2 linked regions of the Daphnia pulex genome follow. The protein of the gene in region 2 purifies or fractionates together with the protein of the main gene of each other region. This does not show direct contact. Links are inferred from orthologs where the notes say so. Each region holds a gene or a part of one and is shown on either strand. Other genes may lie near its edges.

Region 1 (5,254 bases), on a different chromosome or scaffold from region 2:
TTTTTTTAAGTGGATATTGTAATAACACATAAACAATACTAACTTGGAAATATTTTTGGAATTGCCTCAGGTTTAAGTCTCCAATTTTTATGTTCCTGGAATATTTTTTCTCCTCCAACATGCATGAAATACCCTTTGATTATATCACATTCTGAAAAATGATGAGCACACACCCGCGACTTAGCACTGACTACGTAATTTTTCCTTGGAATGAATTTCATCCATTTCTTTTGCATTTTCGGGTCTTTTGTACTGAACATTGCAATTTTTTCGGTAACAATTCCCTTTCTTCGATAACCGGAAGTGCACATTGGAACGCAGCATGTATTTGGCATTTTTTAAAAATAATTGTGTTGAAAAAAAAAACCGTCCTTAGCTATTGTAAGAAAATTTCAAATGAAGCCTTAAACCTTTGTCTGCTTGGTTTCCATGGTTTCTTGTAGAGTAGCCGCAAAGCGAAACATTAATTTTAAAAAAATATATTGTATTAATCATGTCATTAAACTTGCTTATGATTAAATTTCATTTTCTATTTAACGATATTGAAATTACGATCCAATCCAAAAAATTACCCATGCAAAGTCGCCTACTTACTTTGACGTCCTGCTGAGATCGAGCTCATCGTGGTAGAGATTCTATACTTTGATATCGTTGCAACCTTGCAAATTTACATTATTAAAAATTAAGTTTTTAAAATTTCAAAACAAATAATCAAGTCAGCATTTTTTTTTTTTATTTGCTTAAGCCAACAAACACGATAATTGAAAAAAAACCTGAAACTAGTTTTGATGAATGTATTTTGCGGACAAAAGCTGTGGACAAAAATGTAGTTAGTGTGTTTAAGGAGATAGCATTTTCCCAATGCAACTGTGGAACTCAGCGAATGCGAGAAAGAAAAAGAAACTTCTTGTTCACTCAATGTTTAATCATCATCGGCGTCTTGTGCACCAGCATCACGTGCTTTCGGACCACCTGCTCTCTTCGCCATGATGATTTGATCGACACGAAGAACAGTGCAAGCTGCCGCAGTGGCGTACTTCATACCCCAGTATTTAGCCGCAAACAGGTCGACCACGCCGGATTCAACAGCATCAATCAAACCGCCTTGATCCTTAATGAACCAATTAGCAATACAATTTATCATATCGAAATGCGATTTAAATTGTCAAAAATTGATGAAAGAAAACTTACGTCGACACAGATGCCAGTAGTAGCTTTGCCTTCCTGGTGGGCAGCCAACAAAGCGGCTACGGTCTCGGTCGTCTTGAGTCCAGCGTTATCAGACAAGATCCGTGGGAAAGTTTCCAAAGCTTGTGCGAACCTTTGGATGGCGTACTGGTCCAATCCAGGGCATTTTTCGGCAAACTGGTTAATTTGCCTGGCTAGTTCGACTTCCACCGCTCCAGCTCCAGGTACAAGTCGACCGTCTCTAGACAAGACCTTGAAGTTGTTGATTCCATCATCAATCGCTCGCTCAATGTCGTCGAGGAAGTTGTCGGTAGCACCACGAACAATAATGGTGGCGATGCGAGACTCTTTCTCGTCTTGACGGAAGATGACGACTGCGGTGTCTCCAAACTCATCAGTGTAGATGTGATCAGCGTAACCAACTTCCTCGGCCGACGGAGGGGTCTTGAATCAAAAGAGATGAATGAATTCAATGAATTTAATGAATTTAAAAAGATTAATTTACCAAACGTGGAAGGGCAGTCGCGTTGATGGCTTTGCATAGTCGACGAAGATCAAATTTGGACTGGAGGCGGACACCCATAATACCGTATTTGTTGAGGTAATGCAGACAGAGATCACCAATCTTGCCACCAGAGACGATGACTTTAACGCCAGATGCTGCGATGGCAGCGATTTCTTTTTCCAGCATATTCTCCTCGCCACGAGAGAAATCAATCAACTCTTTGGAAGATTGGATCAAAACTGTTCCTTTGGTCTCAGTCTGGACAGAGTCAATGGGGCAAGTGTAGACGGCAATTTTGGCTTTCTCAGCTTTAGTGATGTCTCCTTCTACTTGACGCTTGAAAACCATTCCTTGTACGACCTGCGATTGATACAAGCTTCCACCAAGGATTTTGGAAACCCTCACGTTGTCAACGTTGAATGTCGTTTTCTTGTCCGGCAGGATTGAAACTGCGTTAAGAATTTATAAATCATTACAATTTGAAGTTGAATAATTCTTTTACATTTACGTACCACAAGCTTCAGTGATGAGCGGAGTCAGGAAAGACTCGTTACCATATTGCTTGGACATGATAGCGGCTGTAATGGCTTTTGTAATGACATCCGAATCTTGAACATTCTCAACAGTCTGGCACACCAAATTAGGCAAAATTTCTAAGGCCTTTTCTAAAGCTTTCTCATAGCCTTCAGCGATTTCATTTGGAGTCAGGCCCATACGAATTAGAGCTTCAGCTTGTTCCAGCAGGGCACCAGCCAAGATGATGACAAAATTTGTTCCATCACCAACTTCTTGTTCTTGCATTTGAGAACCAAGAATCATCATCTTGGCAGCAGGATGTTCCACCTAAACCAGATTGTATTTTATAAAAAAATTCTTTTGTGAAACCAAAAATATTCTTACGTCAAGCTCCCTAATGATTGTGGCTGCATCGTTTGTAACAAAGAGTTTTCCCAAGTGATTGATAACCATTTTGTTCATGCCAATGGGACCATAAGCTGTCTGCACAGTTTCTGCTAGCTGCTTACAAGCACTGATGTTCCTGATGACAGCCTCTTCTAGACCTTGAAACATCTGTGGGGAAGAATTCAGGGTTTTTCATTACCAAATTAAGATTATTACGAAAATAAACGAAAAGATGTCTGGGAAAAAATTCCATCAGCTTTACTTAGTTCCCATAGTCAGGCATTCTAACATAAATGTTTCCTTCCATCGCTTAATAAAGCAAAGTTCAAAAACTCATTTTTTGACACACGTCGGGCATCACCAAGACGACCAGTCACGAGAAACGTCAGTTGAATCGGTAAAGTGTATAAATTGTTCTTACCCGCGAGCCCTCTTTCATCATTTGCTGGAAACCGGGTGGTTTAGGTACGTGCATCGCCATTTTTGAGAATTAAAGTTTCCAGCGACTTGATTTAAAGGAAATAATTAAAGAGACGTTGAATCAAGGAGTTGCCCTGTCGAAGCAACGTGCAGATTCACACCGGGTGACAATGGCTTCGTCTGAATGGTATGATTCAACAACGTTGACTAATAATCAACCAGATTTCCCATGCTTTTAAAAAGAATTCAAGAAAAATATACATTTTATTCATGTCCAAGATTATTATCTAAATTTGAAACAGAAAATTATTATTTAAAATAATTTTTTCATTAACCTTCTTATTTGTTTTTACATTTTTTCGTGACTGGCAAGAAAAAAATAGAAATTTCGAGAAAACCGTAGCAGAAGACATCTGGGAAACGTCAGTCAGCTGATCACATCAATGAAAACAAAATAAACATATTTTTGCATTGCTAATCATTTTCACAAATTGAAAAATATTAAGACACCTTGGATAAATTTGCGGTATAAATTTTCTTGTGAAAAATCCTATGTATTTGAAAGGAATTTAACAAATGTTATTGCAACAGGCGCTAATACCAAGAATCTGTATAAAATGACGGATAACAATCCCTTCCTCGCATTATTCAGCAAAGAAGTTGGAAACCCTAACGTAACGTCGGTTTCAGATGCACCAAGACAAGATTGTCACAATATTCCTAAGCAAGAGAATGGCAGGTTCAATGAATTTGCTGAAAATGTGTTTAGGCTCACACTCAAACCTCAGCAAATGAAAAATTCCACATTATTCTATATGAAGGACTTGTCCAAAGCCTTAAATCAAGAATGTTTCGATCAGACAGCACTGGACCAAGCTGTTCTCGAGTATGCCGTTGGACTGCAGCATTCGTTGGTTAATTATCTATTCCAGTGTTATGAGCGCTCTCTTACCCATGGTGATGAGCCAGAGATTCATGATGTAAGAAAAACCATCTTTGTCAACCTGGACTTGGCATTCTCTCAACCAGAATTGTTTCCTGAGCAAAATCTGCATGAAGATTTTCTTCAACTGCTCGCCTTCTCCTCTGAAGACACCTCTACATTTCTAGACAGTTTTGTACAACACCTTCTAGCACCCGAAAATCCTGCCGGTGTTACAGAGGTGTTTTTACCTTTATTTGCCAGCTTAAAAACCAAGCTGACCAACATGCACCTGCTAATGGGAAATCAAAGTGAATTGGACGCCATGATGGTCTTGAGCAAACAACCGACGCTGGCGAAAGACATGGTTTCTATTTCAATTTTGAATGAAAATATCATAGGCAAAGTTGGGAAGCAATGCGAGCAAACTCTACTGGGTTCCCTCTTCTTGTGCTCCTGCATTCCACGCGTCCCAGGAACGCCTTCAGACTTTTTCGACCGACCTTCAAGATCACCGCCCGGTGTTCACGCCACCACCGAAGGAAACATTTGGTCTGCCTCAGAGCGCATTATGGACAAAGTTTATAAAATATTCTATAACTTGTTTAAATCTTCACCGGAAGTTCAAAATCTCACCCGAAAATGGCTGGGTAATTTTAACCTTTTAATAAAAAACTTAAAAAAGGTGGAAATAATTTTCTTTTGTTGATTTTCTAGGGCAAGTATTGGAGTTAAACAAGGCTCGTGGGCAAATGTGGGCCCAGCATGATATGACAGCACAGGTCCACTGCGTTTCCGACGGATTCATGACCAATTTAGGTGCTGTGCTCCTTCAGCTCTGCCGGCCATTCTGTTCTACCGACGACCCGAAATCTTGCGATCGTCTCAGTAAAATTGACGCGACATTTTGTACCGCCAAAGAGACCAAAGACAATGGCGTGCACATTGCTGATCTGCACAAGGAAACGTGCCTCATTACGCAGGAGAACCGACCTGCAGCCAAAAGCCTTCCTTATTCATTTTCCACTGAGCTGTTTTACATGACCCACCGGGCCCTGGAGTTGGGCGCTAAAGCTGTTCACAGTCAAATGCTGCAGATGAGCCAGAATTTCAATCGCCTTCAAAGAGCTTACCAAGACGCCGAACAAAGTGGCCAAACTCCCGTAGCCCAGCAAATCCAAGAACGAATGGATGTCATGATGTCCAGCTACCTTTGTTTTAAGGTGAAAAAATTGAACCTTTATTTAAAATAGTCGTTGGTCTGACTTTATTTTTGTTACAGGCGGTTTTGTTAGTACCTGAATGGTTGAAAATGC
Region 2 (4,814 bases):
TTTTGTATTGATTTCCTTGGGGAGTTTGAATTTTAAAACGAGGGTGCCCACAGAGTCAACGTTCTTACACATGCTTTTGTAACTCCTTATCCCCGTTTCAGAGATATTGCGTGCATCGAACTGGTACAACAAATCGTAGAAGCCCATCCTCATCTTTCAGGTTGGGAACCAAAAAAACTGGCCATCTATGAAAAAAGCTGGCAACCGGGAAAAACCAGTCGAGGTACGTAGTCATACTTGCGTTCGTTCGTTATCTGTTTGAATCCTTCTTTCGTCATACTTTTTACCTTCCCTCTCTCAAACGAGTCGGACTCGATCGTACTAAATTCCAGAATACCAAATCATGTTGTATTTGCTATTATTTAGCTCGACTTCGTCGCTTGAATGATTTCGATTGTCCGCTTCTACTTGCCCAACATTGGCAGGCCGATGATACCAATCTCGATGCCTCTAGCTGTGCCAAAACTCTAATCCTTCAAGAAAGCCAAAATGGAGACATTCCGGTAAAATACCATTGCGGGGCTCTAATTTTCGACATATTCCATCGCTAAACTATAAGCGCACCCATTTTTTCTTCTTTCTATATTTCAGTGGGAGGAATTTACAGTGGCTGAACTATCAAGTTTCCTTAAGGTTTTGGAACGTGAAGAGAAAAATCACGAAATGCAGATTCGCGAGAGATACCAACTACTTAACGAGCGGCTACGAGAAACTATGCAACTTTCGAATCCAACAGCTTACAAAAGCATTTCAAGTAATCAAACCAACCACTTAGCAGTCTCAAATTGAATTTTAAAGAGAAACATAAAAATATATATGATGTTAATACCTGCTGATCTTATACAGAATCCGAGTGCTGTGATAGAAAGCTAATAAAACAATGTTGTTGATTCAAATTCAGTCATTCTTTTCCAAGTTTTTGCTTAGTAGTACAGACAAATTCAAAATCTCAAATGTCACATTCTTATGATATTTTCCTTATTTTAATTACAAATCAACGATCCGATTCACGAGAGGATACGAATTATTAAAAAAACACGATCTAAGATAACCTGATGAGAAGTTTTCAGACATTAGTCATACTCAGTTTTGATATATATAGGTATTAAAGCATTAAACTCGTAAAATTTCAAGGGATCGATTGTAGCAAATGGCAATCCAATCAGGTTGTGTTGCTCCCCACTGGATTTGGTTGATTTCACCTTCAGCCGCTGTGTAAGCAAGTATGGGATCTTCAATGGCTCGCGGCATTTGCTGGATATCCCATATCAAGGCTTGATGGTCATCACCTAAATTATTACAAACCAGATCAAATCGGATCAATTATATACAGCAATTGGCAGCATACATCGTGCACACGGTACTTGCACAATTCTAGTTACAAATAAAAAATATTTACCAGCTGTGCAAATATGACAGGAAGAATGTGGGGCCCAAGCGATGCCATTTACACATGCCCTGTGATTACTCAAACGAGCGACGGGAGTACACGGCACTCTTACATCGAGTATTACCACCTAACATTTGTAACAAAGAAATTTGTAACGTGTTCTCTATTTGAAATGAGGTGAAAAACCGAAAATACTTCACAAGCATCCATGGATATCGTTGCTAAATAAGAAGGGTCCTGTCTATTCCATGCTAGTCTTAACAGAGGACGATGCTGAGGATCTTCATATATGATTGTTGAATGTTCTAGGTGTCTAAGGTCAAACATTCTCACGGAGCCATCAGCGCCAACAGATGCAAACATATCTCGCCCGCCTCCTGCCCGGCTGAATGCGATATCATAGACCTCTTTATCATGTGCGATTAACTGAGTTTTTACGTGTCCTGCTACACCAGGGCCACCAACTCGACCAACAACCTTTAAGATAAATAGTTTGTTATAGAATAATAAGATTTAAAGAAGTTTTAAAGATATTGCTTTACCTGTCCAGTTTCCAAACCCCATATGGTACATGTGGTGTCAATACTAGATGTTCCAATAAGGTTAGGTTCAACTTCATTCCAATCAAAACTTGTAAGAGGAGCACAGAAGTCTGAGTTTTTGTTCTAGAAATTGTTTTCAATGAATTAAATTTCTTGTAAATAATAATAATTCATGTAAAAATTACATTGTTAAGGAGGCATTCTAATCTTGTGTCTGGTTCTCCTGCTTTCCATATGCGTAGATAGTCCCCACTTGTAGCCAGTAAATCAGGAAAAACACCTTTCTGATAACACACTTAATTATTAACATTTCTTTAACCATATTTGAAACAGGATAGTTCCATACCGCATCAGGAATCCACATAATTTTTGTAGTAGGATATGGATGATCAAAAGTACTTTTGGCACTGAATTCTGCTGAATCTTCATCTAATGAAATTACTTGAACTTTGTTGTTGTATTCTTCTACAAAACTTCCAATAGCCAATCTAATTTGTAAAGGAATTTGAGGTTAGTCAAGTTGAATATTACATTTCTTAAACATAAAATACATAATTTTAAACTTCCTCCCTCACCTGAATCTCTTATCTGGACGCACTGACCAATTCATACTGTAAAGAGTCCATGGTGCTTCGTACTTGTAAATTTCCTTTCGTTTGGGAGCAACATTTAGCCCCGCCATTTTTTAGAAAACGACACAATTCCCGGGAATCGTGATCAAATATGCAGAAGTGTTAGAATTTCTTATGTTGGCAATTTTAACCGGAATGACAGTGGACCCACGCAAACAAATAAACCTATCTATTAACTTAGGCCAGACAAGACAACCATTAAATTTTCTCACACTGAAGCTGTACACCAAGCGGTAGAAGTCTGAAACGAAAGTCAGAGTCAAAATCAAATACAGGCAAAATAGATACGATATTTTGAAGAAGAGCGCCACCACCGCTAAATATTGTCTGCTACCGATCGCTGCAGTGCTTCAACGTTCAACCGTTCAACCTTCAAGTAGTAACGTCGCAACTACAATTTGTGAATATTGTTATGTAATAACTCGGAATTTCTTGACAACTTTTCAGTCTCGGTCTTAATACTTTTAGATTTAAAGTAATTGCGATACTATAGAACGAACGAAACATCATACTCCGTATGTTATTATTCCTTTTTAATTTAATAAACACAATCGACTTCTCATGACCGAATTGGTGAATTATCAAAATATTTAGAAATCTAAAATATTTTGGCATTCATGATCAGTTATGTGTACATTGCTTCAACAATTTATATTACACTATTAACAATTCCTCTTTGATTGTGTACAGAGAAATGGAAACATCAAGCAAAATAAACAATGAAATTGAGTCTTTAAATGCTGAAGAATTAAACTGGATTCAGTTAAGAGAGGAAATTGGATCAGAAAGTTTGAAGAACCAGGAGACATTCAAAGAAAAATTCAACAGAAAATTTTCTGAAAATCCTTTTGTTCCTATTGGGTGTCTAGCAACTGCAGCTGCATTGACATATGGCCTGTGGTCCTTTCGTCATGGGTATAACTTTACAAATTGATTGTTGTGTGGTTATTGACCATAATATATTTTTTTTAAATCTGTAATTGTTTGAATTGATTCATTAGGAGACCCCAAATGTCACAAAAAATGATGAGGCTCAGGATTGCAGCACAAGGATTTACAGTTGTTGGCCTTATGGTTGGAGTTGGTGTTGCAAATGTGAAAGAAAATGTGTAAACTTGTCTCTCAGTCCCAATGTATCATATTATTTAGTACACATACATGAGACTTCTCATAGTATAATACATAAAAAAAAAACTCCCTCAATCTAGTGGGATTAAATGTATGGAAATCGCAGTTGAATTATTTTGCCACTCGACAAGGCCTACTACTACAGTAACGACCCCAATCGCTCGTCTTTTCATTTAATCAATTTATATTTTAAAAAACGTCTGCAATGTAGCAAATGCTAGCTCCAGGAAAAAAATAATTATTGTTAATGAATGATCGGAATGACGCGCACAGCCGCAAGACATTTCCTTCTTTTACACGGAAAACGGTTTGGCGCTATTGTTAAAGGACATGTTGCTATGGCAATGTGGAAAGTAAACACAGGAAAAGTTTTTTCAAAATCGTTGGTTTGGATTAACAATTTGTATTCGCGATGGAAATCATGTGTGATAGCAACATTGGTATAGATTATGAAGCCACTGGTAAATCAAATGATTTGGCGGTAAAAATAATTCTTCTTGGAGATAGCGCCGTAGGAAAATCAAAGTATGGATTTGTAGATTGATTGAGCGATGGGTATATGAAGCCATCTTCATCTTGTTGGATAGTATGGTATCCAAAAGAAACTGACGATAAATTTTGAACACAAATGCCTTTAATACTAGGAATGGCAGGAATATTACTCAATTGAAAATAGAGATTTTCTATATTGAGAATTGGAGGCTCTGACTCCCTTTTGAATTTGATTTCCATGAATGAACTGTTCAGCTTCTTTCTGTGCATTTAAAACTTTCTATATCTGGTAAATCCACAACCATCTAACTGCGCCTTGTACTCTGCCCTGTAATTTGAAAAAAAAAGAGTTGTATAAATTATTTTTCAAATCCCAATGATTTTAATCATTTTCCTACCAAGCAGAATAAATGCCAACATTTTACCAATGGCTACAGCATAATAATACTTTAACTGAGATCCAGAAGTAAATGCTTTTGCAGTAGGAGATTGACTTCCACTTACAGAAAATGAGATTTCAAATTTCTTCAAACCATCAGAAATCTTTGGAAGTTAGGATGCCCTGGGTTTAACTGGCAGTATTTCTTGAGTGTCATGCTTGAGTTACATTGTTGGATGAAACCTTCAGCT

What was found.
Region 1: the proteins of DDB1- and CUL4-associated factor 7 (region 2) and T-complex protein 1 subunit theta-like purify together in Homo sapiens (affinity purification with mass spectrometry; 3 studies listed by BioGRID and IntAct, with this or other methods). This does not show direct contact. The link is inferred for Daphnia pulex from reciprocal best matches to the Homo sapiens genes DCAF7 and CCT8.

Annotation. Positions count from the first base shown.
Region 1 is NC_060021.1:169,007-174,260, reverse strand, and holds T-complex protein 1 subunit theta-like, read right to left. Parts: upstream 3,228-5,254; 5' UTR 3,078-3,227; coding exon 3,018-3,077; intron 2,765-3,017; coding exon 2,594-2,764; intron 2,537-2,593; coding exon 2,206-2,536; intron 2,143-2,205; coding exon 1,694-2,142; intron 1,633-1,693; coding exon 1,192-1,632; intron 1,112-1,191; coding exon 923-1,111; 3' UTR 781-922; downstream 1-780. Other genes in the region: uncharacterized protein LOC124194916, read right to left, coding at 44-335; ubiquitin conjugation factor E4 A-like, read left to right, coding at 3,634-4,588, 4,656-5,161, 5,221-5,254. UniProt on the Homo sapiens protein: Component of the chaperonin-containing T-complex (TRiC), a molecular chaperone complex that assists the folding of actin, tubulin and other proteins upon ATP hydrolysis.
Region 2 is NC_060025.1:4,763,164-4,767,977, reverse strand, and holds DDB1- and CUL4-associated factor 7, read right to left. Parts: upstream 2,815-4,814; 5' UTR 2,615-2,814; coding exon 2,508-2,614; intron 2,421-2,507; coding exon 2,279-2,420; intron 2,217-2,278; coding exon 2,118-2,216; intron 2,056-2,117; coding exon 1,933-2,055; intron 1,868-1,932; coding exon 1,586-1,867; intron 1,518-1,585; coding exon 1,400-1,517; intron 1,290-1,399; coding exon 1,114-1,289; 3' UTR 887-1,113; downstream 1-886. Other genes in the region: uncharacterized protein LOC124202359, read left to right, coding at 102-223, 367-503, 592-789. UniProt on the Homo sapiens protein: Involved in craniofacial development. Acts upstream of the EDN1 pathway and is required for formation of the upper jaw equivalent, the palatoquadrate. The activity required for EDN1 pathway function differs between the first and second arches.